Caenorhabditis elegans: one gene and its partner. The protein of the gene in region 2 interacts with the protein of the main gene of each other region in a pairwise test. Each region holds a gene or a part of one and is shown on either strand. Other genes may lie near its edges.

Region 1 (16,308 bases), on a different chromosome or scaffold from region 2:
ACATTTATTAATTTTTTTTTTACTGTTTGGAAAAAACAACATTGTAAATGAATAAAACTTAAAATTCTAACCATTTTTCCTTATTGAAGTTTTTTGATAACTCCACTCCCCGCGGAGCTATGCCGCTTCAAAGTTTGAGCGGCGAGAGAGGGGAGGCGCTGACAGCTAGAGCGCTCTCGCCGCCTGCGTCTCCCCCTCTCTCGTCGATCAAACTTTGAAGCGGTGTATCTCCGCGGGGAGTAGAGATATCAGAAAACCTAACAAAGGAAAAATGCTTAGAATTTTTAGTTTTATTCAGTCATTAAGTTTTTTTTGCAATTTTCAGATTTTTTTTTTTTTTCAAATTCCAAAATTTTTTTTTAATTCCAAAAAAATTTGGATTTTTTCAAATATTCTACTAAAACCATACCTGAACACCCTTCTCCACCACTTTTCTTAATTTTTCTCTCTCTGTCTGCGTCTGCTCATCCCTCGTCGGTGCCACCACCTCCGGTTTCTCGGCTCTCTCGGCAACCGGATCTTCGATTAGAATTGTGCATTTTAGGGTAATATGATCGGTGGGGTCGTTGATGTTATACACTTTTGCGGTGCCGGAAATTGAGAGGTTTTGCTGGAATTTTGGGAAATATTGATTTTTTTTGAAAAAAAATTTTTTTTTTTTTGAATTTGAAAATTTTGGCCTAAAAAAATTGTTTTTTAATATCGCTTTTCAGGTTTTTCCCGAAAAAAATCAATAATTTCTTCCATATATATATAAATTCCGACATTTTTTACTGAATAATTGATTTTTAGGAGGATTTTTTAATTTTCGAAAAAATTCAGAAAAAAAATTTGACATTTAAAAAAAAAAAAATTTTCAGAATTTTTTTTTCGATTTTTGCTTAATTTTTAACAAAATCAAGAAACTTTTTTACTAAAAAATTACATTAGGCTCCGCCCCCTTATCGCCAGGCTCCGCCCCATTTATGTCCAAAATTCCGGCGTAAATGTGCCCATTTGTACGGATTTCGACCTCAAATTCGGGTTTTTCAAACCACGTGGATTCAAGTAAAACTGGAAATTTTAGGCCATTTGGGAGTTCTGAAAATTAGAGATTTGAGAAAATAAAAATTTTTGATTTTTTTTTGGAATTTTTTTGAAATTTTTTTTTCAAGAATTTTTTTTTCAAAAAGGGATTGGTTTTGAAAACTGATCATAAATTTGAATTCTCCTTATTCTCAGCATTCAAATGACACCCATCATGCCTATATTCCGCCAACTTTCACAAAATGTGGGTCCCGCCACGAAAATAGCCGGTTACTGTAGCTTCAATTTCGTGGCGGGACCCAAAATTTGTGAAAGTTGGCGGAATAAAGGCGTGATGTGTGTCAAATTAAAGCTAATAGTGGGGAGAATTCGAAATTAAGGATAGTTTTGAAAATTTTTGAAAATTAGAAAAAAAAATCTTGAAAACTTCAATTTTTTGCATTATTTTTTTCTGAAAACTTTATTATTTCTAAAAACTAAATGAAAATTCGAATTCTATTCACTTCCAGCTTCAATTGAGGCCCCATATTGCCTATATTCCGCCAACTTTCCTAAAATTTGGGTCCCGCCACGAAAATAGTGGGTTACTGTAGCTTCAATTTCGTGGTGGGACCCAAATTTTCCGAAATTGCCAGATTCCAGCCAATAAAGGTGTTAAATTGAAGCTGAAAGTGAGGAAAATTCGAAATTGAAAATATTTTTGGGAAATTTTGAAAATTGGAAAAAAACATCTGGAAAACTTCAATTTTTTGCATGTTTTTTTTTTTGAAAATTTCATTATTTCTAAAAATTATGTATAAATTTGAATTCTCCTCACTTTCAGCTTCAATTTAAGCCCCATATTGCCTATATTCTGTCAACTTTCACAAAATTTGGGTCCCGACACGAAAATCACCGGTTACTGTAGCTTCAATTTCGTGGTGGGACCCAAAATTTGACGAATTGACGGAATTAAGGCAATATGGAGGTCAGATTGAAGCTAAAAATGAGGAAAATTCAAAATTGAAGATATTTTTGGGAAATTTTGAAAATTGGAAAAAAACATCTGGAAAACTTCAATTTTTTGCATGTTTTTTTTTTGAAAATTTCATTATTTCTAAAAATTATGTATAAATTTGAATTCGCCTCATTTTTAGCTTCAATTTGACACCCATCATGCCTACATTCCGCCAACTTTCCTAAAATTTGGGTCCCGCCACGAAAATACCCGGTTACTGTAGTTGGAGTTTTCGTGGTGGGACCCGAAATTGTTCAAAATTGACCGGAATTAAGGCAATATGGGCGTCAAATTGAAGCTTAAAGTGAGGAGAATTCAAAATCAAAGATATTTTTGAAAAGTTTCAAAAATTGAAAAAAAAATGTTTCATAATTTTTTTTTCTTTTGAAAACTTCATTAATTCTAAAAATTAAACGAAAAATTGAATTTTTCTCATTTTCAGCTTTAAAATAACATCATGCCTATATTCCGCCAACTTTCACAAAATGTGGGTCCCGCCACGAAAATAGCCGGTTACTGTAGCTTCAATTTCGTGGCGGGACCCAAGATGTTCAAAATTGACCGGAATGAAGGCAATATGGGGGTCAAATTGAAGCTTAAGGTGAGGAGAATTCGAAATTAGGGATATTTTTGAAGAATTTGAAAAATTGCAAAAAAAAAATTCCGGTAAACTTCAATTTTTTCTGAAAACTTCTTCATTTCGAAAAACTAAGTAGAAAATCGAATTCTCCTCATTTTTAGCTTTAAAAAAACACCCATATTGCCTATATTCCGCCGATTTTCACAAGTTTTGGGTCCCACCACGAAAATAGTGGGTTACTGTAGCTTAAATTTCGCGGCGAGACCCCAAATTTTGTGAAATTTGGCGGAATATAGGCATGATGGGGGTCATTTGAAAGCTAAAAGTGAGGAGAATTCAAAAATAAATAAATTTTAGTACGAATTTCGAAAATTGGAAAAAAAATATCCGAAAAAAAATTGTTTCGAAATTTTTTTTTTTCTGAAAACTTTCTTATTTCTAAGACCCAAGTGAAAATTTGAATTCTCCTCACTTTCAGCTTCAATTTAAGCCCCATATTGCCTATATTCCGCCAACTTTCACAAAATTTGGGTCCCGACACGAAAATCACCGGTTACTGTAGCTTCAATTTCGTGGTGGGACCCAAAATTTTCAAAATTGACGGAATTAAGGCAATATGGAGGTCAGATTGAAGATCAAAAATGAGGAGAATTCGAAATTAAAGATATTTTTGAAAATTTGGAAAATTGGAAAAAAATTTCCAAAAAAAAAACACTTTTTTTGGAATTTTTTTTGAAAACTTTTTTTTTCTAAAAACTAAATGAAAATTCGACTTCTTCTCACTTTCAGCTTCAAAATGACCCCCATCATGCCTAGTTTCTGACAAATTTGTAATTTTTGGGTCCCATCACGAAAATAGTGGGTTACTGTAGCTCCATTTTCGTGGTGGGACCCAAAATTTTCAAAATTGACGGAATTAAGGCAATATGGGCGTCAAATTGAAGCCAAAAGTGAGGAGAATCTAATTTTTATCTTAATTCGCCAACTTTCACAAAATTTGGGTCCCGCCACGAAATTGAGGCTACAGTAACCGGTGATTTTCGTGTCGGGACCCAAATTTTCCGAAATTGCCAGATTCAAGCCAATAAAGGTGACAAATTGAAGCTAAAAATCACCATTTTTCAAAAAATCGCCCATTTTCAGCATCTCATAGTGCTCAAGTTTCAGAAAAACTGAAAATCGCTGAAAAATGTCGAAAATCTCGATTTCCTCCATTATAAAGTAGACATTTCGTATGGTTCCGCTCATTTTTTTGCTGGAAAATTCAAATTTTCCGGAAAATTACAAGTTTTTGGCCAAAAATTCAAACTTTTAAGAAAATTCTAAAAAATTTTGGCTTAAAAAAATTAAAAATTTCAAATTTACAGGAAAATTCCAATTTTTTCGGCTCAAAAATTCGAATATTCTGGTAAAATTCAAAATTGTCAGGAAATTTTCAAATTTTACGCTTAAAAATTTTTGAATTTTCAGTGAAAAACCCATTTTTTGGCCAAAAAATTCGAAATCTCAAGAAATAACCCAAATTTTTGGCTGAAAAAATCTTTAAAAAAAAAGAAAAAAAAAGAAAAATTTGAATTTGAGGGTTAAAAAGTTCAAATTTTCGGCTCAAAAATGGCATTTTCTTGAAAAATCCAAATTTTTTGGCTAAAAATTCAAATTTTCAAGAAAAATTGAATTTTATACTTAAAAAATTAAATTTTTGGCAAAAAAATTCGAATAGTTAAAAAAAATTTAATTTTTTTGTTGAAAAAATCGATTTTTCACCAAAAATCCAAATTTTAAGCTTAAAAATTTAAATTTTTCAGAAAAATTCAAAAATTGGCTGAAAAATTCGAATTTTCAATAAAAATCAAAATTTTCTGGCTAAATAACTTGAAATTTCAAAACATGCAAAATTTTAGCTTAAAAAAATCCGATTTTCAAAGAAAATTATAGTTTTTAGCTCAAAAATTCGAATTTTCCAGGTAAAAAATCCAAATGTTCGTGAGAAAAAGCTGCTGCAGAGAGCCGCCACCTGTAACCATGGCGACCTCCCTCACAGCAAAAAGCGGAAATGTGTGCAGGTGGGGGGTACTACTCGTCTATACAAATATAATTTATAAATGTGATATTATATAGAGAAAAACGGGGTGGGGAGGAGAGTGAAAACAAAGAAAAAAACGGAAAAAAAAAACAAGGAGATTCTATATATTATACTCTAAAAACAAGGGGAAAAACACTAAACTAAAAAAAATTGAGGTCCTAAAATTGCGAAAAAATTAAAAAAAAAAACACCATTGAAAAGTTATCATCAAAAAAAGGGGAAAAAGAGCCGTAAAACAAGAAAAAAACAAATGGCTCAGAGCACAAAAGATCATAATTTTTTTGGGGAAATTTTTGGGGAAAAAATGATGGGAAAAACGACAAAATTGAGCAAAAACCAGTGTTTTAGAGAGAAAATCAATCCATCGGTGTCGTTATTTCAATGAGAGATTGAGAGCTTAGAATCCCATTCCTCCCATACCGCCCATTCCACCCATTCCACCCATTCCACCGGCTGGTCCACCAACTGCTTCTTCCTTTGGAATTTCGGTGACTACGCATTCGGTTGTGGCGAGAAGTGAGGCGACTCCTGAAGCATCTTGGAGAGCTGTGCGAACCACCTGGAAATTTGGAAAATTGCGGTTTTTGGGGAGATTTTTTTTTGCATAAAAATTTTCGATTTTTCTTGAAATGTTGAATTTTCAGGGTTTTTTTTTCCAAAAAAAAAAAAAAGACGGCCAGAAGCAATTTTTTTCCATTTTTTGACCAATTTTTGAACTACTTTCAAATAATTTCTGCTGAAAAACTCCAATTTTTGGCTGAAAAATTTAAATTTTCACGTAAAATCCAAATTTTCCGCCTGAAAACTTCAAATTTTCAAGAAAATTCCTAATTTTTGGCTTAAAAATGAAAATTTTCAGTGAAATAATGCAATTTTTGGCTAAAACATTAAAATTTTGGAGGAAAATCCAAATTTTTGGCTCAAAAATTCAAATTTTCACGAAAAATTCAAATTTTTTGGCTAAAAATTCAAATTTTGGAGGTAAATCCAAAATTTTTGTCTCAAAAATTCAAATTTTCACGAAAAATTCAAATTTTTGACGCTGTATATACCTTAGTTGGATCGATAATTCCAGCCTCGAACATGTCAACGAACTTTCCGTTGAGCGCATCATAACCATATGATGTATTGCTGTTTCCGGTGACTTCATCAATAATCGACGATGGCTCAAGACCGGCATTTTTGACGATTGTGGCGATTGGCTGAGTGAGAGCCTTCTTGACGATATTCACACCGATCTGTTGATCCTCGTTGGCTGCTTTGTAGTTTTTGAGTGCTGTCAGAGATCTGAGAAGAGCAACACCTCCTCCTGGAACGATTCCTTCTTCGACAGCGGCACGCGTGGCACACAGAGCATCGGTGACACGGTCCTGTAATGAAAAAAAAATTGATGAAAAATCATACAAAAAATTGCAGAAAACCGATAAAATCTGGTGGAAATCAAGATTTTTCCGCGCAGGAAAACCAAAATTTCTGCTATTTTTGAGCATGCTCAGCGGGAAAAATCAATTTAACAGTTTTTTCCGCGTTTTTTTATCAATTTTTTCAGTTGAAATTGCGAAAAAAACAGTTATTTTCGGCTTCTAACAACAAAATTTTAAGTGGCAATTGCGAAAAATTTCGGCTAGAAAGTTCGAATTTTAAGAAACATCCATATTTTTGGCTGAAAATATCAAATTTTCAGGGAAAATCCAATTTTTTGGCTGAAAATATCAAATTTTTAAGGAAAATGCAAAATTTTGTCTGAAAAATTCAAATTGGCAAAATAGCCATTTTTTCGAACCAAAAATCGGCTGGAAATTGCTAAAATCGCAAATTTTAATGTTTTCCGGCAGAAATCTGTAGTTTACACGGCAAAATCAAGCTGAAAATGATCGACTAAAAAATTCTAACTTTCAAGAAAAATCCAAATTTTTGGCTGAAAAAATCAAATTTTCAAGAAAAATTCAAATTTTTGGCTGAAAAATTCAGATTTTTGGCTAAAAAAATTCAAATTTGTAAGAAAAAGTCAGATTGTTTAAATAAAAATTTAAATTTTCAAGAAAAATCTGCAGATTTAGTGGGTTTCTTTCACAAAAATGGGGGAATTTACCATAAATTTTACTCGAAAGGAGCACAAAGAGAATCTTGCGTTTTGTTGCAAATAAAAATAAAAAACTGAGTTTTAACGAGTTTCCAATGGCACAAACGGCACAAAAAAGGTTTTAAAATCAGGTTTCTCGACAAAAATCTGGTAGAAATTGAGGTTTTTTTAAACCAATTTTCTGCTAAAAAAAGCTCAAAAATGAACGGATTTTGATCATTTTCCCACGGAAAATAGCCAGTTTTTCTTCAATTTTTCTCCAATTTCAGCCAAATTCCGCACACCTTCTTCTCTCCAACTTCAACTTCAGATCCTCCTCCAATCTTGAGCACAGCGACTCCCTTGCTCAACTTGGCGAGACGCTCATTAAGCTTCTCCTTCTCGTAATCGCTCGTCGATTGCTCAATTTCATCGGTGATGTGCTCGATTCGCTTCTCGATCTCTGTTTGATCTCCACGCCCGCGAAGAAGAAGAGTATCGTCCTTGGTGATGGTGACCTCATCGACTTCTCCGAGATCGTTGGCTGTGATATCCTCGATCTTAATGAGATTCGAGTCATCTCCAAAGATCGTTGCTCCCGTCGCAATTCCCATATCCTTGAGCGTGTTCTTGCGGTTATCTCCGAATCCTGGAGCCTTGATTGCGACGACTTGAAGTCCGACCTGGAAGAGAAAATTCTGCGGTTTTACAGGGTTTTTAGTGAAAAATTAGTTTTTTTTTAAACTTAAAATCGTGGAAAATGATGGAGTTTAGAGGTTTTTCAGTGAAAATATGTATTTTTTAGCAAAAATAGCAAAAATAGACTTTCTCAGAAGTCAATGCGCACTTTTTCACTGATAAAAATGGAAAATTATGTAGAATACTGAATAAATCCGACCTGGAAGAAAATTCTGCGGTTTTAAAGGTTTTTCAGTGTAAAACACATTAATTAACTTTAATTTAGCGCGATTTTCAGGTGAAATCTTCATGTTTTTGGAGAAAATCCAGGAAATTATGAAATTTCCTGGCGATTTTCTTGCTGAATCCCTAGTTTCTTCTGCTTTTTTTCTATTTTCTTGCCGTAAAATTTGTAAAACTCTCTCAACTGATAAGAAAAAGAAGATATATTATCATTCTCTAATCAAGGTCGCTCGTATTTTGTTGCGAGTAGCCTCCTGCTGCTAACAAACATCACTGATCAAAAAATGCTCGCGGTTCTTTGAACTTGAATTTTCTGATAAAAATTCAAGTTTTCTAGGCTAAAAACGTGAATTTCCGGGGATTTTTTGGACGAATACAAAATTTTTGCAGCATTTTTAGCCATTTTTCAGTCGAAATTGGCAAAAAAACACATTTTTTCGAACCAAAAATCGGGATATTAAAAGTTTTTAATGCCAAAATAAGTAATTTCCGGCAGAAATCTGTAGTTTCCAAAAGTTTGTAAAATCAAGCTGAAACTGATCCGAAAAACAGTAATTTTCGGCTTTTAAACGAATTTTTCAGTCGAAATTGCGAAAAATTTTGGCTGGAAAGTTCGAATTTCAAGAAGAATCAAAATTTTTGGGTGGAAAATTCAACATTTCAGGAGAAATCCAAATTCTTGGCTGAAAAATTGAAGTTTTCAAGAAAAATCCAAATTTTTGGCTGAAAAATTCAAAATTTCAGGGAAAATCCAAATTCCTGGCTGAAAAATTCAAAATTTCAAGAGAAATCCAAATTCCTGGCTGAAAATTTCGAATTTTGTACTTTTTTTTCGTATTTGGGGGTAAACTAATCAAGAAAACGTCGGGTTTCAGCAAATTTCGCATTTTTCTCCGTATTTGGGGGCAATAATCGAAATAACGCGAATTTCCGTCAAAAAATGGAGTTTCAACGCTGGTTTTCGACAAAATTTGCAGTTTTTCGCTTCTTGTCGTCTGTACCTTAAGTCTATTAAGAACAAGAGTGGTAAGAGCCTCTCCATCAACATCCTCGGCAATGATAACCAATGGACGGCGGAGCTTGTTGGCGAGCTCAAGAGCCGGCACAATATCCTGAACTTGGCTGATCTTCTTCTCGCTCAACAAGACAAGAGCCTTCTCGTACTCGACTTTAGCTCCTTTCGCAGAGGTGATAAAGTACGGCGAGATGTATCCTCTGTCGAACTTCATTCCCTCGATAAGCTCGAGCTCATCGTTCAGCGTTTTTCCGTCCTTAACAGTGATGACTCCAGTGGTTCCGACCTTCTTCATGGCGTCACTGATGAGATTTCCGACGACGGTGTCTCCATTGGCGGAAATTGTGGCGACTTGAGCGATCTCTTCGGGGGTGGTGACCTGCAGGAACAAGTTTTTTTTAGTTAAATTATTGCTAAATTTAGTTTTTTTTCTGATTTTTTAGGTTTCTAGGCGCGATTTTTGGTTTAAAACAAGTAAAAATTCAGGTATATCGAGCAAATATAGTCAGAAATAGTCGCGATTTCCCTACAAATCTGTGAATTTTTGGCCATTTTTTCGGGATATTAGGGCTTTTTCATTCAAACAACAAGCTTTTCGTCCTGAATTGGGTAAAAAATAGTGGCTTTTCAAGGTTTTTCAGGGCAAATCAGTGAAATTTTGTCAGCTTTCCGGATTTTTAAGGTTTTTCCGTCAAACAAAATAAGATTTTCGTTCTGAATTGGGTAAAAATTGCGGGGTTTCTATGGATTTTGGCCAAAAATTCGATATTTTCAGCTTTTCAGGCCAACATTGAATGAATACCGCTTCAAAATTGGATCAGAGCTCACAACTGTTTGAAAAAACACGAAATTTTGCAAATTTTCCGGGATATTAGGTGCTTTCGTCCTGAATTGGGGAAAATTGCGGGTTTTTATTGATTTTGGCCAAAAATTCGATATTTTCAGCTTTTCAGGCCAACATTGAATGAAAAATTGCATCAGAGCTGCCAATTGTTCCAAAAAGCACCACATTTTGGCGAACTTTTTGAATTTTCAAGGTTTTTCGAGACAAATCAGTGAAAATTTGTAATTTTTCGGGAATATTCGGGTTTTTCCGTCAAACAATAAGCTTTTCGTCCTGAGTAGGGGAAAAATGACGGTTTTTCAAGATTTTCAGAGCAAATCAGTGAAATTTTGTCAGTTTTCCGGAATATGAAGGTTTTTCCGTCGAACAAATAAGCTTTATGGCCCGAATTGGGAAAAAATGACGGTTTTTTGAAGATTTTGAATTCCTGGCAACTGATTTTAGCCACAAATTCGCGATTTTCAAGCAGATTTGAGCGAAATTCTAGTTTTTCCTCTAACATCAAATGAAAATCGCTTCAAAATTGGGTCAAAAATCCCAATTTTTCCAAAAATCACTGTGGCTTTTGAATTTAAATCCACAATTTCCCGGTATTAACCTTCTTGGAGATCTTCTTGAGCTCTGCAACGACGACTTCGACGGCGTTCATGACTCCACGACGGATCTCGACAGCGTTTCCGCCTTGACGAATGCTCTCGAATCCCTCTTTGGCGATGGCTCTGGCGAGAACTGTGGCGCAGGTGGTTCCGTCTCCAGCCTCCTCATTAGCCTTGTTGGCGACATCTTGAATGAGCTTGGCTCCCAGGTTCTGGTATTTGTCCTTGAGGTCGATGGATTTCGCGACGGTGACTCCGTCCTTTGTGATCTTTGGGCTTCCCCACGACTGCTCGATGATCACGTTTCTTCCCTGAAAGAGTTTGGAGTTTTAGAGGCTGTATTTATGAAGAAAAAAAAATTAAATTTTGCATTAAACCGGAAGTTTTGTGTATAAAAATACGTTAAAATAGATTTTTTTACAGCATTTTTTCCTCAATTTTCACATCAAAATCCCCGTACTTTTGGGCCCATAGTGACAGAGACGGCGTCGGCGAGCAGGTTGACTCCGACGAGCATGGCCTGTCGTCCTTCGGCTCCGAACTTGACGTCCTTGGCGTAAGATCTGACGACGGCGGTCTGAAGTCCCTTTCTGGCGAGGCGAAGCATCTTTTGTGTCTGAAAAACTACGAAAATTGTGTGAAAATCTGCAGCGGAAAGGCGAAAATGCGAGCAAAATCAGAGTTTCTCATCGAAAATGAAGCGAGAAGCCTTGCATTATCGTCTGAGAAGCAGAAAAGGAGTGAAAAATAACGAGAATGGATGAGAAATCGGCTGGGAAAACGGTAAAACAGATATTTCCCCTAATTTAGACGATAAATGGCCTATAAATAAGCATTTTTCAATCGTTTTTTATGAAAATGAAGCGAGAAGCCTTGCATTATCGTCTGGGAAGCAGGTAATGACTGAAAAATACAGGAATAAATGAGAAAATAGCTGGGAAAACTGTAGAATAGTTTTTTCCCCTAATTTCGACGAAAAATGGCCCAAAAATAAGCATTTTTCAATGGTTTCTGATGAAAATAGAAGCAAAAAACCTCAATTTTTCGTTCAAAATATGAAAAATGAGAGAAAAATAACGAAAATGACGCAAATTTTGATGTAAAATGGCTAATTTACATCAGAATAGACTTTTGCATCATTTCACTCGCTCCGCCCAGTTTTGCAAGGTGCGCACACTTTTCTAGGTGGAGCTGAGCGCGCTGATTGGCTGAATTTGCGGCGCGGTGTCTGCCATTGGCCCGACACGCCTAGATTTGCAAGTTTGCCGCACGAGATTTTTCGCGCCGCACATTTATTTTCTGCTTTTTTTCTCGAAGCTTCTTTTGGTTTTTTGATCATTTTCTGAATTTTCGCGGGTTTCTTCGGGTTTTTTCGTTGTTTTCATGTAATTTCCCGCTAAAAATAAATTTTAAAACTCAAAAAACCAATTTTTCAGCCGAAAAATGTTCCTCACCGCTGTCCGCCGATCGGTAAGCTATTTTCCCGGTGTTTTCTCCGAATTAAACGCGTATTTTTTTGCAGAGCAATGTCCTCAAGACCTTCAAGCCACTCTATGATCGTGTGCTCGTCGAGAGAGTCGCCGCCGAGACCAAGACAAAGGGAGGAATCATGCTCCCGGAGAAGTCACAGGGAAAAGTGAGCAATTTTTGGCCTAAAAATTGATTTTTCAGGTGAAAACTGATAAATTTCAACGTCTTGGAGCAGATTTCTAGCACAAAAATGCCAATTTCACCGTCAAAATGGTGCAACTTGGCGTCTAAAACACAGTTTCTAGCTAAAAACCTTCAATTTTATACGAAAAATGTTAATTTTCACCGAAAATTCCGTAAAGTCTGGTGTAATGATGCAATTATCGATTTTCCCTGCCAACACGCTCTCCGACTGCTCGCGGAGGTTTTTGTCCAATTTTTATCCGAAATTACCGAATTTTCACTCAAATTAAAGCAATTTCCACCTAATTTTCGAATATTTCAGGTCCTTGAAGCCACCGTCGTCTCTGCCGGAGCCGGACTTCGCAACGAGAAGGGAGAGCTCGTCGCATTGACTGTGAAGCCAGGAGATCGTGTCCTTCTCCCAGAATACGGAGGCACCAAGGTACAAAATGCGACGAATTTCGAGCGAAAATATGGATTAATTGGCGAATTTTTAATGTGAAAATCTGAATTTCCGTTGAAATTTCACACAATTTGGACGAAAATCGGGATTTTTTTTAACATTTCAGTGTAAAAGTAGCGTTATATTACTGAAAAGTCATTGAAATCAACGAAAATTGCACAAAAATTGTGTTTTTTCAGCCGAAATCCAAGATTTTTTCAGAAAAATCAGGAAAAATTGTATTAAAATACGATTTTTCCCCCAAAAACTGAATATCACGCGCTTTTCGCTCTAAATTATTGGGGAAATACCTTTAATATAGTACATTTACGCTAAAACCCAACGAAAATTGCACAAAATTTGCCGATTTTCACCGGAAATCTAGCATTTTCTCTGTAAAAATTCATTTTTATGAACGAATTTCGAGAAAAACTGAATTAAAGTACGATTTTTACGCCAAAAAACTGAATTTCATGGGTTTTTCGCTCTAAATTATTAGGAAAAAACCTGAAAATCAGTTTATTTTCGCTGAAAATCCACAAAAAGTGCCGATTTTCACCGGAAATCTAGCATTTTCTTTGAAAAAATCCCAAATTTCCTTCGTTTTTTAAGGAAAAACTAGGTTAAAATATGATTTTTACGCCAAAAAAACTGAATTTCAGGCGGTAAAATGTCAGTTTTTTCCAGTGAAATATAGTTTTAGGCCAAAATTTTGACAAAATACCTGAAAATTAATTAATTTTTTGCTTACAGACCGCGAAAATTGCGCAAAAACATATTTTTTCGACCGATTTTCGCAGGAAATCCCAACAATTTTTCCCCAATTTCAGGTCGTCGTCGAGGACAAGGAATACTCAATCTTCCGCGAGTCTGATCTTCTCGGAGTCTTCCATTAAATTATCTTCCATATGGCTTTCGGTCTCACAAATCTTCATTCAATTATTCCCCTCTCTCTCTCTCTCTGTTTATTTAATTTTTTAATTTCAATTTTTTGAGTTTAGATTTTAGGAAATTCCTCTTTTTTGTTGAAAAAATCGATTGTTATAGTTCCTTTTTTCCTTGATTTTTCGCCGGTATTGTTTTTCTTTTTTTTCGATTTTAAATAATGATTTTTCAGATTTTTCTTGTTCTCTGGCCACAGACAATGTTTTCGATGTGACAGGGCGAACCGAGAAAAGCTCAATGTGGCTTGGAGAACCGGAAAAAACAAACGGCGTACTTAAAAGACACGGCAGTGGTCGAACCTTTTCAAGCTCTGAGCTATTTTTTAACCGTTTTTAAATATTTTTAGCGCTTTTCTGCAATTTTTTGAAAAATTTTGAATTGCCGCCAATTTAATTTGTTCGATGGAGCGCGCTTGCATTATTTTACTGATTTTTTTTCGGTTTTTTGGAAATTGAATTTCCCGTCAAAAAGATCCAAAAATAAACTAAAATGATGCAAGCGCGCTCCATCGAACATCTTGAACTCTTGGCGGTAATTCGAATTGGAACGCAAACTGAGGATTTTCCTTCCAATTTTCAACAAAAAAAAACATTTTTTTTGGGGTACGGTAGCTTCAAAAGAACGCAAACACCGCAGTGCTTACGACAAAATGCAGAATTTCTCAATTTTTTGTAAAAATCACATGCCTATGGGTAAAATGAGGTGCTGAATCTGAATTTGTTAGTTAAAATTCATAAAACTAAAGTTGAAATGTCAAAAAATGAGTTTTTATGACTTTATCGTCAGGAAAATTGTATTAAAATTCATTTTTGCAGATTTTCATGTAAAAATTTGAAATCTTCGTGACATTTCACCCTAGAAAAACCTTTTTGTGAGTTTGCAGTGCAAATATTGAACATTTTGGGGTACGGTAGCTTCAAAAGTACGCAAACACCGCAGTTTTTACGACAAAATGCAGAATTTCTCACTTTTTTGTAAAAACCATGTGCCTAGGGGTAAAATGGGGTGCTGAATCTGAATTTGTTAGTTAAAAGTCTTGAAACTGAAGTTGAAAAGTCAAAAAATGAGTTTTTATGCTTTATCCTCAGGAAAACTGAATTAAAATTCATTTTTGCTGATTTTTATGTCAAAGTTCGAAATCCTCGTTAAATTTCACCCATAAAACCTTTTTTGTGAGTTCTCAGCGCAAGAATTAATGTTGCTGATTTTCATGTAGAAATTCAAATTTATCGATAAATTTCACCTTGGTAACCATTATTTTGAGTTTGCAGTAAAAAATGCGGGAGTTGAGACGCAGATTCACATTTTTCTGGGCGAAAAATTCCCGCATTTTTTGTAGATCAAACCGTAATGGGACAGCTTGGCGCCAACATTCCTAGTTCCAAGGTGGCCAATTATTGGAAATTTTCAGCTATCCCACTGCCATCGGCTTGATTTCTTCTGGAAAGCTTGACCTCTCTGGACTATATCCAAAGCCTATTACAAGCTCAAATTGCCGATTTGCCGGAAATTTTCAATTCCGGCAAATCGCCGGTTTGCCGATTTTAGAGGAAAATTTCAATTCCGGCAATTTGCCCATTTGCATATTTGCCAGAATTTTTCAATTCCGCCAGTTTGCCGATTTTCCGGAAATTTTCAATTCCGGCAAATTGTCGATTTGCCGGAAATTTTCAATTCCGGCAAATCGCCGGTTTGCCGATTTTAGAGGAAATTTTCAATTCCGGCAATTTGCCGATTTGCATATTTGCCAGAATTTTTCAATTCCGCCAGTTTGCCGATTTGCCGGAAATTTTCAATTCCGGCAAATCGCCGGTTTGCCGATTTTAGAGGAAATTTTCAATTCCGGCAATTTGCCGATTTGCATATTTGCCAGAATTTTTCAATTCCGCCAGTTTGCCGATTTTCCGGAAATTTTCAATTCCGGCAAATCGCCGGTTTGCCGATTTTAGAGGAAATTTTCAATTCCGGCAATTTGCCCATTTGCATATTTGCCAGAATTTTTCAATTCCGCCAGTTTGCCGATTTTCCGGAAATTTTCAATTCCGGCAAATCGCCGGTTTGCCGATTTTAGAGGAAATTTTCAATTCCGGCAATTTGCCGATTTGCCGGAAATTTTCAATTCCGGCAATTTGCTGATTTGCCGGAAATTTTCAATTCCGGCAAATTGTCGATTTGCCGGAAATTTTCAAAAATTTTGAAAAATAAGTTTTTTGGAAAAAAATTATTTGAAAAAAATTTTTTTTGAAATTTTTTTTTTCAAAATTTCAAAAAATTTCAAAAAATTTTCAAAACCCCTCATTTTCTTTTTCAAGAATTTTTCAAGGAAAAGGTTGTCTGGAGCAAATAAAATCAAATTATATTTTTAAAAAAAATATTAAAAATCTGAAAGTTAATTTTTTTATTTTTTTTTATTACTGAGAAATTCGATTTCTAATAAAAAAACATCGATTATTTATTGATTTCTGCAAAGATTGAAGTTTATTTCTGAAAAAAATCAATATCAGTTATTATGAATTTGCGAAAACAAATCGATTATTTATTTTTTGAAAAAAATTTTTTTTTAAATATTTTTTTTTATCCTTACTGAAAACTCTGATAATTAGTGATAATGCGTAATACTTTGTAACACATAAAAGCTGTTAATTCTCCCAGACTGCCGTAAACCCCCATAAATCCCGCAAGACCCCCCAAGGTCGCATCAACTTTCGCTCACCGATTTCGGGAATGAAGGCGCTGATGTCAATTCTCTTTTATATAATTGCTTCATTTTCCTATTTCGAATGTTGTGTTCGTCTTTAGTTTTCTCATCAGTTTTGTATCGATTTTTCGTTTTTCTAATAGAATTTTTTAAGGGGATTTTTTTTTTGCAGTCTGGCCTAAAAAATTAAACGTTAAACATTTTAAATTAAACATTTTTTGAATTTACTTCCTCATCAGCTTCAATTTGACACCTATATTGGCTATTTTTGAAATTTTCCGAAAAATAAAAAAAAAAAAATTTTTCAAAGTTTTTTTTTCATACTTTTAAATATTGTCGAGTGGGCGGAGAGCTTGGCGATAAATGTTTTAAACTAAAATTTTTAATTTTTCCACTTCATAAGCTTCAATTTGACACCCATATTGGCTATTTTTCAGCAAATTTGA
Region 2 (15,028 bases):
ATAATTCAATTCTCAAATTCTTTATCAAAAATTTTTTTTTTATTTTGTCGTTCAGTATTTTTAGTTCTATGTTCATAACTTTTCTTTCAAATTTGGTTCTCAAAATAAGCGCTGAGGAAAAATAACTCAACTTACTCAACTAAATATGCACCACTTGTTGCAATAAGGATAGTAATCATGAAGCAAATTGCAAGAATGAGATTGAGAATATATAGACAGCGCAATCGACGTAATTAGATTGGTAGCGGTGGTCAGTGAGGAGGGGCAGCAGCAAAAAAAGGCAAAAAATCCTGCCGCGAAGATAATCTTCTTGGGCGTATTTTCATTTTATACACTCAGTGCGTTTTTTTTAAGAATGAATTTCCGCTTTATGAGTTTAAGTTTGCAAATTAAATTAGTTTTTGTCGGAGAAAATGTTGTTTGGCGTTTATCAAAAGTGACATGGTTCGTAGTTGTTTTTCTGCTAGCTCTGACGTAAACTGTCTTGATTTACTAAAATAAAAAACAATTAGAACCATTTGTGGGGATATTGCATTAATTTACTATGTTATTTGATAACAATCACCACCCACGTTTTTGATGAACTTAGTTAGAGGAAAAGAATAAAAATGCCCACATCACTTGAAATTCCAATTCACCTGCCGTGATGACAAAAATGAGCAAGCTTAAAAGAGCTTGGTATTTCCTCCAGCTGGTCTTCAAAAAGAAATCAGTTTGGTGTTCTTCCAACCAGAAGTTGATTCGTCTTCGCTCATTCACTTCTTTCGCCATCCGTCTCCTGTCTGCCAAAGAAGGAAGAAGAAATAGAGAGATGGAGAGAAAAAAGCAACCTACGTCAATCCGTTGGGCTTTTCTAAGAAGTGAATGTGAAAGCATAATACAACTTATACAACTTATACAACACTTATACAACATAATACAACTATTTCTCTCATATTTCTCTCATTTTTCCCCATTCGATCTTTGTTCATTCAGTGTTCAAATGATGTTCCTGTTTCTATCAAAGTCTTTGTGATGGCGTGTGTTGGTGAAGATTTTCAGCTCTTTTCTCCTGGAAATCCCTCAAAAGAGATCCGACCGATTTTTGCTTTTTATGTCATCATTAACAAGTGTCTACCTTTTTTTCCACGCGGTCATGAAATTGAAATTTCTTGGCAGAAGTCACGTCGGCAGTATTAATGGTCTTATATCTTTTTTGAGATCGTCCTGTCTTATTTTGTTTCATTGTGTGCTAGATCTTGTAATTTTTGAACTGAGAATTCTTTGAAACATTTTACTATATCATTTAGGTATTTTGGCTTTTAAGAACTTTCCCACTGGCGCTGCTCCACCGTCAAATTTGATTTTCCTTTTGACATTGAATATAGTTTAAAATATACTACGTTTCCAGCAAAACAACGTTTACACATGTGTGGGAAGAACTCTTATCCATTGTGTCCACTTCACACCCACACCCACTATGGCATTGCGGTGCCAAAATGTCATTTATACACAAACAAAACTAATATTTCCGGTGGCTTCTTTTACTACGCCTTTGTTTTTCTGGCCTTTGCCATTTTTCGAAACTTTTTGTGCTTATCCATTTTGCTCCGATGAGTGCGACGACCCAAACGCTATTCTTGTGTGTGTCGTAGGTGTGCTGCTAGTTGGCTGTTATGGTTGTCTCCTTTCTTGATTCTACTCAACCATCAAAAATATTTCCTTATCAATTTGTAGAAAAATTGGAGTTTGTTCTCTTTTTTCCCTCCATACACGGAGCATTCTACCAAAGAGAAAAACGTTTTCATTAACCACATTTCGTTTTGTCCAAATATTTTTATATGCTGTCGCATAGATATGCACATTCTAAGAGCATGCTAGAAACTTATGAGTGTTCTGTGATCTCTTGATTTTCAATACCTTAATTGGATTATGCTCAATGATCTCGAGCCCTTCCACTGATGTGCAAAATATGTTTAGTTTCACCCATGGTAAACCACTATGCTGGACAGACAACTGATCAGTTTTGTAAATCAAAAGAACGCTTTGATACGAATAATCTGAACATCAGGGGTTTTATCAGTTTGCAACGTCGACGAAATAGGCGAAAAGGGAGAATATGCATTTTTGTTCAAATATTTAGCAAGAGCACTGAAAATTTGAAAAACATTTTTCTTTGTTTCAAGCGTTTTCTGAAATTCGCAATAAAAACAGTTGTTATGAACTTGTGATCGGTTTGAAGTTTCAGTCACATTTAGGTTTTTGTATTTACAATGAACTTTTAAGTCTACTCACAATTGTTTTCTTTTCTATTGTTGAAGTTATTACATTTTGTCTAGACTTCTTCATTATTGTTCAACTCATTGAGCCTGGGTCACATCAGAATTTAATTCAAAACGTGATGATTGTCTCTGTAGGCTGTCATTGCCCAATTCGCAGTAATCCTTGATATTCCCACCTCTGCGCTCCCTTCCTAACTGGATTGATCATTCACATCATCCTCACGTTCTCCTTGCTCCTCACATGCGTCAATGAGAATAAGAAGTAAACGAAAAAGAAAATGAGATGAGATGGTGAAACCGGATGAGAAAAAATAAAATAAAAGAAAAAAAAGGAATGTAGGAAAAATGTGTACATGTTCAATCGACCCCCATCTTTTTTTTCTCTTTCTCCATTTTTTACTTTCGCCTTTCATTCAATGTGTCTTTGCTTTTCCTGCATCCATGTCCGTCAGTCCCTCACAGAAACCTCCCTTGTCGTTCTCCACTCCGGACCTTCTGCCCCTTCTAAAAATAACTGAGAGACCTTTGAGATGAGGATTTCTTTAGATGTGGGACATGAGAGACGTCTGCGCCACACTTGGACCTTTTCCACATACACACTTGCCTTTTTGTCTGTCTATCCGCACAGCTAACCAAACAGAACCACTTTTTTGCCCGAATAATGACCATTTTCAAGCTCTCAATTTATGTTCTTCCCAGCTGTCCAGAAAAGGTTGTAATTTCTCTTTTATTTACGCCCACTTTTTCTAAATTATTGGGTTGGGCGATTTTTTTGAGATTTCGACAAGATGCGATTTATATTTTTGAAAGTCTACTGAAGAGACGGGTTTTTTAAAGATTTTTATAATCTTAATATATCACAAACATTTGTATCAAAACTTTTTCAAAAGTCCAAATGTTTTGTAAATTATCAATTTACCAAATTTTGGGTTTAAAGTTTTCAAAAATCTAAAAGCTCATTTTATACTTTCTAACCTTTACCAACATTTTAGGTTGAGTCCCTATGTTTATTTGAAATAACATTTAAGGAACTTGTGTTCTTCTTCAAGTTTCTTGAAACCAGTGTACGACTAGAATAATTCGCATTTTTTAGTTGCATTTTAAATGAGTAGTGTTGCTAGCTTTTTAAAACTTAATATATAGTTGTGAAGCGTATTCTACTTTAATCATTTATTGTTTTTTTTAAATTTTTATTTTTTTTTTTATTGAACCTTTATTTGATTGTTCCCTAAGCATTCCTAGAAAAGTGGAAATTTGATTTTTGAACATTGTACTTAAACAAAAAAGCAAGAAGCTCTCATTAATGATAGGTGCGCAAACGCACTCCAACCTAATCCGCGACATAATTTTCCCCCATGTACATATATCACGTTCTCTCACAATAAACCTCTGACAGGCCTAACCAATGTCTAGAAAAATGTGTTTTTTCTTCAGTTTATTTTATGGCCATGTTGTTGCAAGCATTGCATTTTATTTTACTTGCTAAAAAAATTTGACCAATGTTTCTGAACTGTAAGTTCAAGAAATTGAAGAAAGTTTATGCACCCGAAAAATTACTAAGTCTTCTCCCAAAGCGTTCTTTCATGTTTTTCAAGCATCTAAGACAAGCTGACGAAAGCAATGATGTTTTCGAATCTAACGGCTTCTTGGTTATTCAATTATTAGTCGGATAACTTTATTCAATTCATTTTGTGGTGTGAGCTATTTAGCTTTCAGCTTGCAGCTTTTGGTGTTTTCTCCAAGTAATAGTTCGAAGCCCGGTATTTTTTTAAATAGAAAATTTACAGAGATGCTAACTCCCACTTCTACTAACCTTTTTTTTAAGTTGAAAGCTCAATGCGTTTACCTTTTTATCTGAGATGATTAATATTTTAATTTTATTTGAACCAGTATTATTAGACGAAGATATATTTTTCAATTACTTATTTGATTTTTTCTCTTCAGACAGTTTATATTTTCTAAACCTTTTTGGTTTTTTATAAACATGAGCTTTTAACTTTGTTGAAGCTTGAGAAACTTTTAATTTTTCATGAAATATAACTTATTTTATGTTTCAACGTCTCGAATATCTTTCCCCTCTTTTAAATACTTTTACTTTTTTCTCGTTTTGCATATGACTCATCTACTTGCTGGAATGCAAAAAAGTATGATGAACAATTTTTAGGGTGAGGTTAGTAGAATACAAGTACTGCAGACACAATATACAATACCTTTCCACAAATGGAAGATTGTGTCTGTGTGTATGAGATGAAATAGATAGAGAGAGAAAGAGAGAAAGAGAGAGTGGCGAGTGTAGAAAGTAACATTTAACAGAAAACGGCATTGAAAGATAGAGAGAGAGAGATGCAGAGAGGCAAAGTGATAGAGAGATGGAGGAATAGTGGTGTCCTGCGTAACTTTTGTCGTCGTTTCTTATCACTTGTTTACGTGCACAGTGCCCCCCCCCCCCCCCCCCCCCCGATGATCAACATTTTTTTGTGAACAGACAACAACATTTTGAAAGGTGATTTCAACGAATTATCTTGTTGAGAGCAAACGGGTCTGAAGCATATTCGTGGCTTAGCAATCTTATCAATTAATTGGTTTTCTTCCAAAAAATTGAGTAAATTGTATAGTTCTATAAGGTTTTTGTAACTGAACACTATAACTTAAAAGAATAACTAAAAATGTACATGCGTCCCGAAATACTTACAAAAATATTTGCGAACCCACACCGTCTAAATGATTCAACAAAAAAAGTTTCGCAATATTATACTATCAGGCAATTTTTGTAAAATCTGACCATTACACATACGGGATTTCCTGAAATGTGTGGTCTTGCGAATTTCGCAACTTTTCATGACAAAAATGTGTTTGGTCACAAAAACGGTTTCTCGACACTTTTTCCGAAAAAAACGTTTGCACTTTTTCACTATTTTTAAATCTATGTTCTGCTTAATTTCATTTCCACTTTTCTCTTAAAACATTTGACAAAAACTATAAGTTCTGACTCCCAATACTTTTTTCGTCGTATTTCCCTTCCGTTAACTCACTCACTGCTCTAGTTCTCAATAACAATAAATCAAGCGCTCAGTTTTTTTCGAGTTTTTATGGGCCCTTTTTGGGGGAAATGAAGGATAAAACGATAAAAACTGCAAAAGTATACTAAAAATAGTAAATTGAAGTTTAAAAAATTTAATATTCCGAAAATTGAAAAAAAAAACCCCATGTTATATGAGTTACTTGCCGCCCACCCACGGAAATTATTTATTTCTGCGTTAGTCATGCAACTAGTAAGAAGATCCCGCGGAACCATGAGTTTTTCTTTGTGATATTTCCAAATTCAGTATCTCCAATTAAATGATTCACACTTCGTTTTCTCCCTGCTTTATAAATGACTCAGCTATTCATGGCAGCTCCATCTTGCTCCTCCTCCCCAGCTTCCATGTTGCACTTGTTCACATCACATCCCATAAAAATTCATGCACCCGCTCCAAGGTTACTATTGGTTCCCAGTGACAACACCAACAAAAACGGATTTCGGTTCTCGTTTTGGTCTGGCACCTTGATTTCAATTTGAATTTTTACGACAACACATCCCGGGCAACGGTTTTTCGCTTTGTTTTCACATTAATTTTTTCTCACTGGGATGAAAATGGGGGCCCCTCTTTTTTCCCTTTTTCTATTTTTCTGCTTCCTACTCACCAAATTGCTTCTGCTCTCTTCTCATTCTTCTATCTTTTCCTCACTTTTTTCCTATTCCTATTTTTCTTATTTCTTCTATTTTTCAACGATCTATTCCGCGTTTTTCTACAGAATTTCGTACTCTCATTCATCAAATCTGAGAACCCTCCGCCAGGAGAAAAAAAGAAGGAAAAAACGTGATTCCCAAATCTTTAATTAAAGGACCAGATTGATGGATAAGTAACGAAAGACCAACACTATCTATTTTACATTTAGATTCGAAAAAAGATTGAATGACACCTCTAAATTTTGTTCACAAAACCGCGAAACCACCATTTGTATTCTTTATTGTCATTTTTCCTCATTTTTCGCTTTGTGAAAAATTTACCCACCGTATTTTTTGCTGAAATCCGTGTCTCTTGCTCTTTCCTTATCCTCATTTAATTTTTGCAGACGATCGCTGGTCGGCGAATTCTACAATTTATGTAGATCGGTGCGGAACGTCTCTCTAGAGTCTTACATCATGGAGCGAAAAGGTAAGAAAAATCTCATTTACCTCAAATTTGCCAAAGCATCTAATTTCGACTTGTTGTAGGACGTGAGCGCAAGCTGCCGGGCATGAAGATCGTGATGCCAACACCGGTCGAGACGCCCACAATGAATCTGGAAGACAGATGTCTTATCAAGTAAGTATTAGGTGATACCCGTGTCGGGTTTGATATTGAACACGTAAAGACGGCGCGGCGAATTATGTAATAATAATATAAGTATGAGAAATTTTTGATTGATGCAGATTGACAAACGAGTCCGAAGAGATTGAGATTGCCGCCACCGACCTCGTCGTACTCGAAGAACTTGGAAAAGGTGGATATGGGATTGTGGAGAAAATGCAGCACAGGCAGAGCGGGATAATTATGGCGGTAAAAGTGAGTATCACAACAAGAACAGTTTGAAAAAATTAACTATGTACATATGTTTGGTAATTCACCAAAAGCGGTTTTTTCAAAAAAATGTTTCATTTTTTCGTAACTTTTCAAAAAGTAACTAAATTCAAATTCCTATTTGGCTGGTGCACTAATAAATAGGCAATTTGTATAAATTTAAGATATTCATAAAATACTTTTCTTTAATTAGGGAAAAACTATTCTAATTTGAATGCAACGTGTCATTTTTCACATACAATAGTTATTCAAAAGCAAATGCAAGTTAGCAAGATGAAGATTATTGAATTTAGGTGTGACTGCAAAAATAATAGTTAGTCTTCATTGCCAACGGAAAGCATTTCCATTTTTTGAAGGGCGCCGTGTGAGACGACACACTGATTGCCTTTTGGCTGTCGGCACACGCGCCCACACGTCACCTTTGAAAAGTTGGTGTATAAATTAAAATTTTCGTGAACAAAGGTAAATTATGGAAGTGAAGAAATGAGAATTTGAGGATAGGATTTCAAACGCAGGTCACTCGTTTCTGATATGATGAAAAAAATCTTTTTTTTTTTGAAAAGGAACATGAGAAATAGATTCAAAGTAGCTTGATATCAAACATTTATGGAATGTATTGAGATTTATCAATACTTACTGATTTCAAAAATTCATTTTCATCCATACACTAGAATAAGTGACTAGGTGATTGTACATCAATATGTATGTTAATAGGACATACCAACAATAAGAACAGTCTGTGACGCGGAAATTTTCCATAAAAAAGGTCACTTCATAGATTTCATATGTTGAACTTTCACTAGAACATATTGCAAATACTTCATATGTAGTTGTGGCAAAGTTCAAGATTAAAGTAAATACAACATGTAAATGGAAAACTGATCTGACCAAAAAATGTTTTCAAATCACGAATATTTAAATTCTCAATATAAAAATTAATCGAAACTACAGATTTAAATACTAAAAAAAAATTATAAATTAAATATTACTGGTTTGAACCGAGACTTAAGCAAATCGCGTATTGAAAAAAATAAAAAATGAATTTTCAAACTAAATCGAATTTATCTTTTAAATTGATCCTAAGCAAATTTCATTTTCTTACAGCGAATCAAATCATCAATCAACGATCAATCTCAAAAGCAGATGCTCAACGAGCTAGACGCGTGCAGGAGAAGTGATTGCTGTCCGCAAATGGTACGGTTCTATGGAGCAATGTTTCGCGAAGGTGATGTCTGGATTTGCATGGAAGTGATGGACACGTCGCTGGACAAATTTTACCGGCACGCATACAAAATTGGCAAACACATTCCAGAGCCGTTTATTGGGAAAATGGCTCTGTCGGTCATTGAAGGACTCAACTTTATGAAAGAGCAACTGAATTTGATTCATCGAGACGTGAAACCGTCGAACATTCTGTTAAATCGACATGGACAAGTCAAGATTTGCGATTTTGGAATTTCAGGTCACTTGACAAACAGCATGGCCAAGGTACGGAAAATCGATAAAAATGAGACCTCTATTAAAAAAATGAAATGCAATTTTATTTGCCGAATGATGTCATGCCAATCAGAGTTATCTTTCAATTTCATCATGACCGGGAAGAAAAATTTCAAAATATATATAGTGTTTCGATTTACAGACTGTACAAGCCGGATGCAAACCTTACATGCCACCAGAGAGAATTGATGGAGAGACTAAGTCAGCCTATGATGTGAGAGCTGATGTATGGAGTTTGGGTATAACAATAATTGAAATCGCCGTTGGCACCCATCCCTACGCAAATTGGAAAACCCCATTTGAACAATTGAAACAGGTTGTGAAAGAGCCGCCACCAAAATTGCCGATGGAAAGTGGTTTTAGTGTTGATTGTCAGTACTTTGTCAAGAGATGGTGAGTTTTTTGGAGTTTCTGGGTGTGGAGTTGGGAAGAGTATGAAAATTTGCAAATTGCAGTCTTGAAAAGGATTACAATGAACGTCCCAAATATCCGGAATTATTGGCGATGCCGTTTATGGAGCAGGCAAGAAATGAGAAGCAATTTAGTATGGCTCGGTTTATCAATGAGGTAAGATTTGCTGCTATCAAAAAGACAATTTTTTTGCTGAAAAATTGAGAAAAACAATCTGTAAATAAATGGGTAAAATTAAATTAAATGTTTATTAATTTCTCCATTTAAATGAAACGTGAAATTGATTTTTAATTTTTAGGCTTAAAAATTGTTGTCTAAGTATAATTGTCCTCCTAAGCCTTAAAATACAAAAGAGTTTTATTTTCTATGTCTAAAAATTCAAGTTTAGCGTTAAAATTTTTGGACGATAGCTTTTAGTGAAAATCGGTATTTTGTTACAAAACACTTTATTGTAGAAACTAAACACTTTAAAATAAATTGAAAATTGGTGAATGATGTCAATTTTGTGAAGTGTGCTTAAATTGCTTTAAGAAATAACAAAAATGCAAAATAAGTGCAATAAAAAAACAATCAAAAAGTCAGGTTATTTCTGAGAAATTTCGAAGAGTAAAAAATGTTGTCAAAAAATCAGTTCGGTACATCAGCAAAGAAAAGTATAGATCAACTTCAAAACATCACCAAAACTTAGCATGTACAGTTTGTTTCCAGCAGGACCAACTTACAGTAAAAGCACCACTGAATGTTATTTTTTATAATTTTTTGTATTTTAATCTGAAAATCGTTTTATATCTGACAATCTTGAATCTTACTAAGGTCCGATGGGCACCTTCTGACGGTTCCCTAGTTAGGTAAAAACTATGCTAGATTTGCGAAAAATTGCAAAAACTTCTGAATTCATTCATTGCAGATTCTCGACACTGTTTGGCGACGATGAGCATCGGGTGTGCCGAATGGCGAACAAGTCTTTTTCTAGTACGACACGTCTCAAATTGAGAATAGCGTTTTTTTGTACGCCTCGCTGGCCGTCAATGGAACATCGATATTTGTTGAATAATCAGCAACGTGGACGGAATAAATTATCACTTCTTTTCCCTTTTTGTCAAATATTGAATTTTATGTTCTTATGTTTTGTTTATATCATATATCTCTCAGATTCCAATTATTTCTTTGCTTCTGGTAACCGTTTCTTTCCGAGTCAACCGCTTATCCTTATTTCATTTTCAATTTTATAGGAAATCTTTCTCTATCGCTTCTTTTTTCGTGTCTTCTCCTCGTAGTTATAATCAATCATCGGTGTTTTTCTACATTTTTTTTACGTTTAAATGTTCAAGTAGTTTATTAGCATCTGTGATTTTTATTTTCAAATGGTAGCTCATAATTTTCCAATCAAACTCGAAATGACCTAGTTGTTTTCTTAAATGATTTTAGTAGTCATTCCTATCTCATCTCATCAGACTTCTCATTTCAATTGTTTAACTTCTTCCTCTGCATATACAGTGCCATTTTCGATGTCAAATTCGTATTCAACATGGATTATTCTACTCTAGAAATCAAAAATGTATTCTATTGCACCCCTCCTCCCGCATTTGTTTCATCTGTGGGTTAATAATGATATTTATAAATTGATGTGCTGTTACAAAAACGAAAACAATCAACATCACTTATCCTTCTTTCTATTTTTCTTCTTCTCTGGTCTTATGCGCTTATTCTCCTTATAACAGTTCTTGCCCAGAAAATCAGCGTACACGTTTCATTTTCTTTTCTGTTCGTTTTCTCCCCTAACTCAGACATTACAAATTTCTAAACGTTTTGTTTTCAATTACACCAACCATCCCCCACTTTTCTCCCTCACCCCATATCAAGGATATGAGTCTCTTTTGGTTTATATTGCTCGAGTAAAGATTTTTTTTTAATTCAGATAACGGTTAAATATCGTGAATTGATGTTGCAATGTCTTCCTGTTTCAGAGCTATGTAAAAACTGACGCCAGTGATAAAATAATGTGGCAACCAGAGGAAGGAAAAATATAAGAATGTGAAAAAGCAAGTTTAGTTCAAATTTTTCAATAGTAAATCACACTACGACTTGATTGGGATAGTTGGTTTTGGTTGCTTTTCAAGATATTTATAAAAACGTTTTTTAAATTTTCCAATATATAAATAGAGAACGAGTGAATATCATTTTCCTTGTTTGAATTGCCATAATTGATAAATTGAAAATATCTGGAAAATAATATAAACAAAAAAGACCAAGAAATATAAATGTTTTGTTTCATTAAGGCACATCATGTACGGACTTCTATTTTACTATTATTTCTATCGTTTTCACCGGAGTTTGCTAAAGTTGCAAAATTCTTAAAAACAACTGATGCTTGTTTCAGAATTGCAACCGACACAACCGACAGCAAAGTTGCCAAAGCTTTCCCAATCATCAAGCATACATTTTTGTTGAACATAAACCTTGGAGTGTTTTCGTGAAACTTTGTTAGAAAAATTTTTTCATTAGAAGTGAAATGCTACTAACTTTCTGGATTGTTGACGCCGGGTTTGCCAGAGCTATCAAATATAAAATTACGAGTGTGGTCACAGATGTCGAGCCACAAGATTCCCGGTGGTTGAGTATGAGCAGCCACAATACGTTTTTATATATATGATGTAACTTTTTGAAACATGTTGAAACTTTTTGAATTTCAATAATAACAATTTTCTTTCTAAATATTGCAATTGACGTTGCAAAAAGTTTTCACTACATGAAGTGAGCAGTACCATTATAAAAACAATAAATTTTCTTGAATCGGTACATGAAATTTTCAGTTTTGAGGATTTGAAAAATATGTAAATACGAAATATGAAGAATACATAAACCACAGAAACATGATCAATTATCAAAACACGGATTTCATTAATTAAAACAGTAAATCAAGAATTCTTACTTAATCATATTTTAACAGCATTATAATTGTATTTCTCACGAAAGGAAAGCTACAGCAGGAGGGAAAAAACAGTAAATTTGATTAAGTTGGGGAAAACCTATTTCTAAACCGTTCTGGTTCTTAAGGAAGTGGTATTGTCTGTGCGTTTTTCGCCTTAATGACAAAAAATTTCAATATGGCATATAAATTTTATATGATTTTCTCAATTTTGCAAAAAAAAATTCGATAAGGCAGAATTACTTCCAATATCCCGCGCAAATGAATGACCTTGTTTTGACATTTTTTTTTTCGTTTTCCGGCTGTGTTAATCAATTTTTACTTGGTTTTTTGTTTATTTTGTAATTAAAACAAATGTTTTTCATAATTGCAGGCACTTCGTGATGAAAATTCGATTTAAAAATTCACCGAAACTGTAAAATTGTCCTAAAATCGATAATTCAACGTTTTAAAGACCTTTTTTGCAAAAAAAATGTCTGAATATTTGAAAAACTGTGTTTCAAGTCAATAATTGAAGTAAGAGAAAAAACAAAAATCTTGAAACTAGGCATTCATGTGCACGAGAATTCGAAAATGATTCGGTCATTTTGATTTAATAGCAAATGTGAAAAAATGCATTAAAAAAAATTCAGAATAACTTTATAATTGTTTTGCATTTTGGTATATTGAGTTGTTTTTGTCATTTAAAACAAAAAAAGTCACTTACGATACTAACTCATTTTTTAAAATTCAGGCTCTTTTCCAAAACCTACTTATTCCACAACCAACCTAACTAGTTATTTCAGTCGCATAAACAATTCAAATATTCAAATAGCTGTTCATTCAATTTTCTTGTTGATTTGATTTTCTTTTCATTGATCCTCTATATGCATTTTTTTTCAATCTCGCTTTTGATTTGGATGAGCTCCCAGCTTCCATGTTCATCTTCTTATTTCTTATTTCCCTCTACACTTTTCATTTATTTTCAGTTTCTTACTTTTATGTGCATAGCCATATTATTTTTCTCTGAATACTCCACCCCACCACATTTTTGTGTGCCTCTAAAAGAAATCGATTGATGCGTTCCACATTTTTTTGCCTCGTGTTCTAGGCACGCTTTCCGTCTAACCAGATTCAAAAATCTACTCATATCGATGTAAACAGACGTCTCTGTCCAATTACGTATCTGCTCGCTCAAACACACGCGCTCTCGCACATTGAGAGAGATTACGCAAAATTTCGAAACTCGGAGAGTGCGAGACGGTTAGCCGACAGAAAAATACTGACCGCAGACGGCCGGAGCACAAGGGGCACATACGCAAAGGCGGGTCTCGTCGCGAATGGGGGTGTGTACGCAGCCGAATTCACCGTCCTCGGCCTAAACACACCGGGAGGCTCTTCTTTTCCTCCATTTGTGTTCTCCACGCGCACACCTATCACGTTCGTTGGATTTCCTCCTGTTTTGGCCTAAATATTTTGGATATTTGAATTCGAATTCATTCGACAATTTCCTAATTTATCTCTCAGCCTAAAACATATTTAAGCCTCCCTTTCCTCATTCTCTAAAATTTGCTCCGGCCTAAAAAGTTCGAAATCCTAAAATTTATCATTTTCAGTAACCAACCTTCACGAATTCATCATGGGAAAGGAAAAGGTCCATATTAACATTGTCGTCATCGGACATGTCGACTCCGGAAAGTCCACCACCACTGGACACTTGATCTACAAGTGCGGAGGAATCGACAAGCGTACCATTGAGAAGTTCGAGAAGGAAGCTCAAGAAATGGGAAAGGGATCCTTCAAGTACGCCTGGGTTCTCGACAAGCTGAAGGCCGAGCGTGAACGTGGTATCACCATCGATATTGCCCTCTGGAAGTTCGAGACTGCCAAGTACTACATCACCATTATTGATGCCCCAGGACATCGTGATTTCATCAAGAACATGATTACCGGTTAGTTTATTGCAAATTTCAGGCAATAAGATTAAATTTCGAAATATTTCGCAAAATTTTAAGCCCAAAATTTAGGCCAGATTTTAGGAATTTCACAATTTCTTCTAATTTCACAAAATTTCAAATTTCACTAATTTCACAATATTGCAGGAACCTCCCAAGCCGATTGCGCCGTTTTGGTCGTCGCCTGCGGAACCGGAGAGTTCGAGGCCGGAATCTCCAAGAACGGACAAACCCGCGAGCATGCTCTCCTTGCCCAGACCCTTGGAGTCAAGCAGCTCATCGTCGCTTGCAACAAGATGGACTCCACCGAGCCACCATTCTCTGAGGCTCGTTTCACTGAGATCACCAACGAGGTCTCCGGATTCATCAAGAAGATCGGATACAATCCAAAGGCTGTTCCATTTGTCCCAATCTCCGGATTCAACGGAGACAACATGCTTGAGGTCTCCTCGAACATGCCATGGTTCAAGGGATGGGCTGTTGAACGCAAGGAAGGAAACGCTTCCGGAAAGACCCTCCTCGAGGCTCTTGACTCCATCATCCCACCACAACGCCCAACTGACCGACCACTCCGTCTTCCACTCCAGGATGTGTACAAGATCGGAGGAATTGGAACCGTCCCAGTCGGACGTGTTGAGACCGGAATCATCAAGCCAGGAATGGTCGTCACCTTCGCCCCACAGAACGTGACCACTGAAGTCAAGTCCGTCGAGATGCACCACGAGTCTCTTCCAGAGGCCGTCCCAGGAGACAACGTCGGATTCAACGTCAAGAACGTTTCCGTCAAGGACATCCGTCGTGGATCCGTCTGCTCCGACTCCAAGCAAGATCCAGCCAAGGAGGCCCGTACCTTCCACGCTCAGGTTATCATCATGAACCATCCAGGACAAATCTCCAATGGATACACTCCAGTTCTTGATTGCCACACCGCTCACATCGCCTGCAAGTTCAACGAGCTTAAGGAGAAGGTAAGCAATATATTTAGTTACTTTCCAAAGCTCATCCTCATTTTTACAGGTCGATCGTCGTACCGGTAAGAAGGTTGAGGACTTCCCAAAATTCCTCAAGTCCGGAGATGCTGGAATCGTCGAGCTCATCCCAACCAAGCCACTTTGCGTTGAGTCCTTCACCGACTACGCTCCACTCGGACGTTTCGCCGTTCGTGACATGCGTCAAACCGTCGCTGTCGGAGTCATCAAGTCTGTTGAGAAGTCCGATGGATCATCCGGAAAGGTCACCAAGTCCGCCCAGAAGGCTGCTCCAAAGAAGAAGTAAACACTTGGGTCACTGCTTCCTTCATTCAACCTTCTCATGTTACTCCTTCGCTTATCTGTTATCCTGTTAACCCCCTCCCACCCATAGCTTGTAATATAACTTTCAAAACTCTAATTT

What was found.
Region 1: the proteins of sek-1 (region 2) and hsp-60 interact in a protein complementation assay, tested with the Caenorhabditis elegans proteins (one study listed by BioGRID).

What each region holds. Positions count from the first base shown.
Region 1 is NC_003281.10:1,614,182-1,630,489, reverse strand, and holds hsp-60 (Chaperonin homolog Hsp-60, mitochondrial), read right to left. Parts: upstream 10,749-16,308; 5' UTR 10,732-10,748; coding exon 10,585-10,731; intron 10,436-10,584; coding exon 10,127-10,435; intron 9,064-10,126; coding exon 8,671-9,063; intron 7,432-8,670; coding exon 7,054-7,431; intron 6,057-7,053; coding exon 5,739-6,056; intron 5,246-5,738; coding exon 5,084-5,245; 3' UTR 4,687-5,083; downstream 1-4,686. Other genes in the region: Y22D7AL.4 (Transcription initiation factor TFIID subunit 7), read right to left, coding at 410-610, 926-1,080, 3,719-3,851; Y22D7AL.10 (10 kDa heat shock protein, mitochondrial), read left to right, coding at 11,568-11,594, 11,647-11,760, 12,100-12,219, 13,050-13,115. UniProt on the Caenorhabditis elegans protein: Implicated in mitochondrial protein import and macromolecular assembly. May facilitate the correct folding of imported proteins.
Region 2 is NC_003284.9:7,810,357-7,825,384, forward strand, and holds sek-1 (Dual specificity mitogen-activated protein kinase kinase sek-1), read left to right. Parts: upstream 1-6,377; 5' UTR 6,378-6,447; coding exon 6,448-6,460; intron 6,461-6,519; coding exon 6,520-6,610; intron 6,611-6,717; coding exon 6,718-6,850; intron 6,851-7,969; coding exon 7,970-8,353; intron 8,354-8,504; coding exon 8,505-8,755; intron 8,756-8,817; coding exon 8,818-8,929; intron 8,930-9,680; coding exon 9,681-9,707; 3' UTR 9,708-10,680; downstream 10,681-15,028. Other genes in the region: eef-1A.2 (Elongation factor 1-alpha), read left to right, coding at 13,321-13,633, 13,784-14,604, 14,654-14,911. UniProt on the Caenorhabditis elegans protein: Dual specificity protein kinase which acts as an essential component of the p38 signal transduction pathway which is also composed of upstream effector nsy-1 and downstream effector pmk-1. May phosphorylate pmk-1.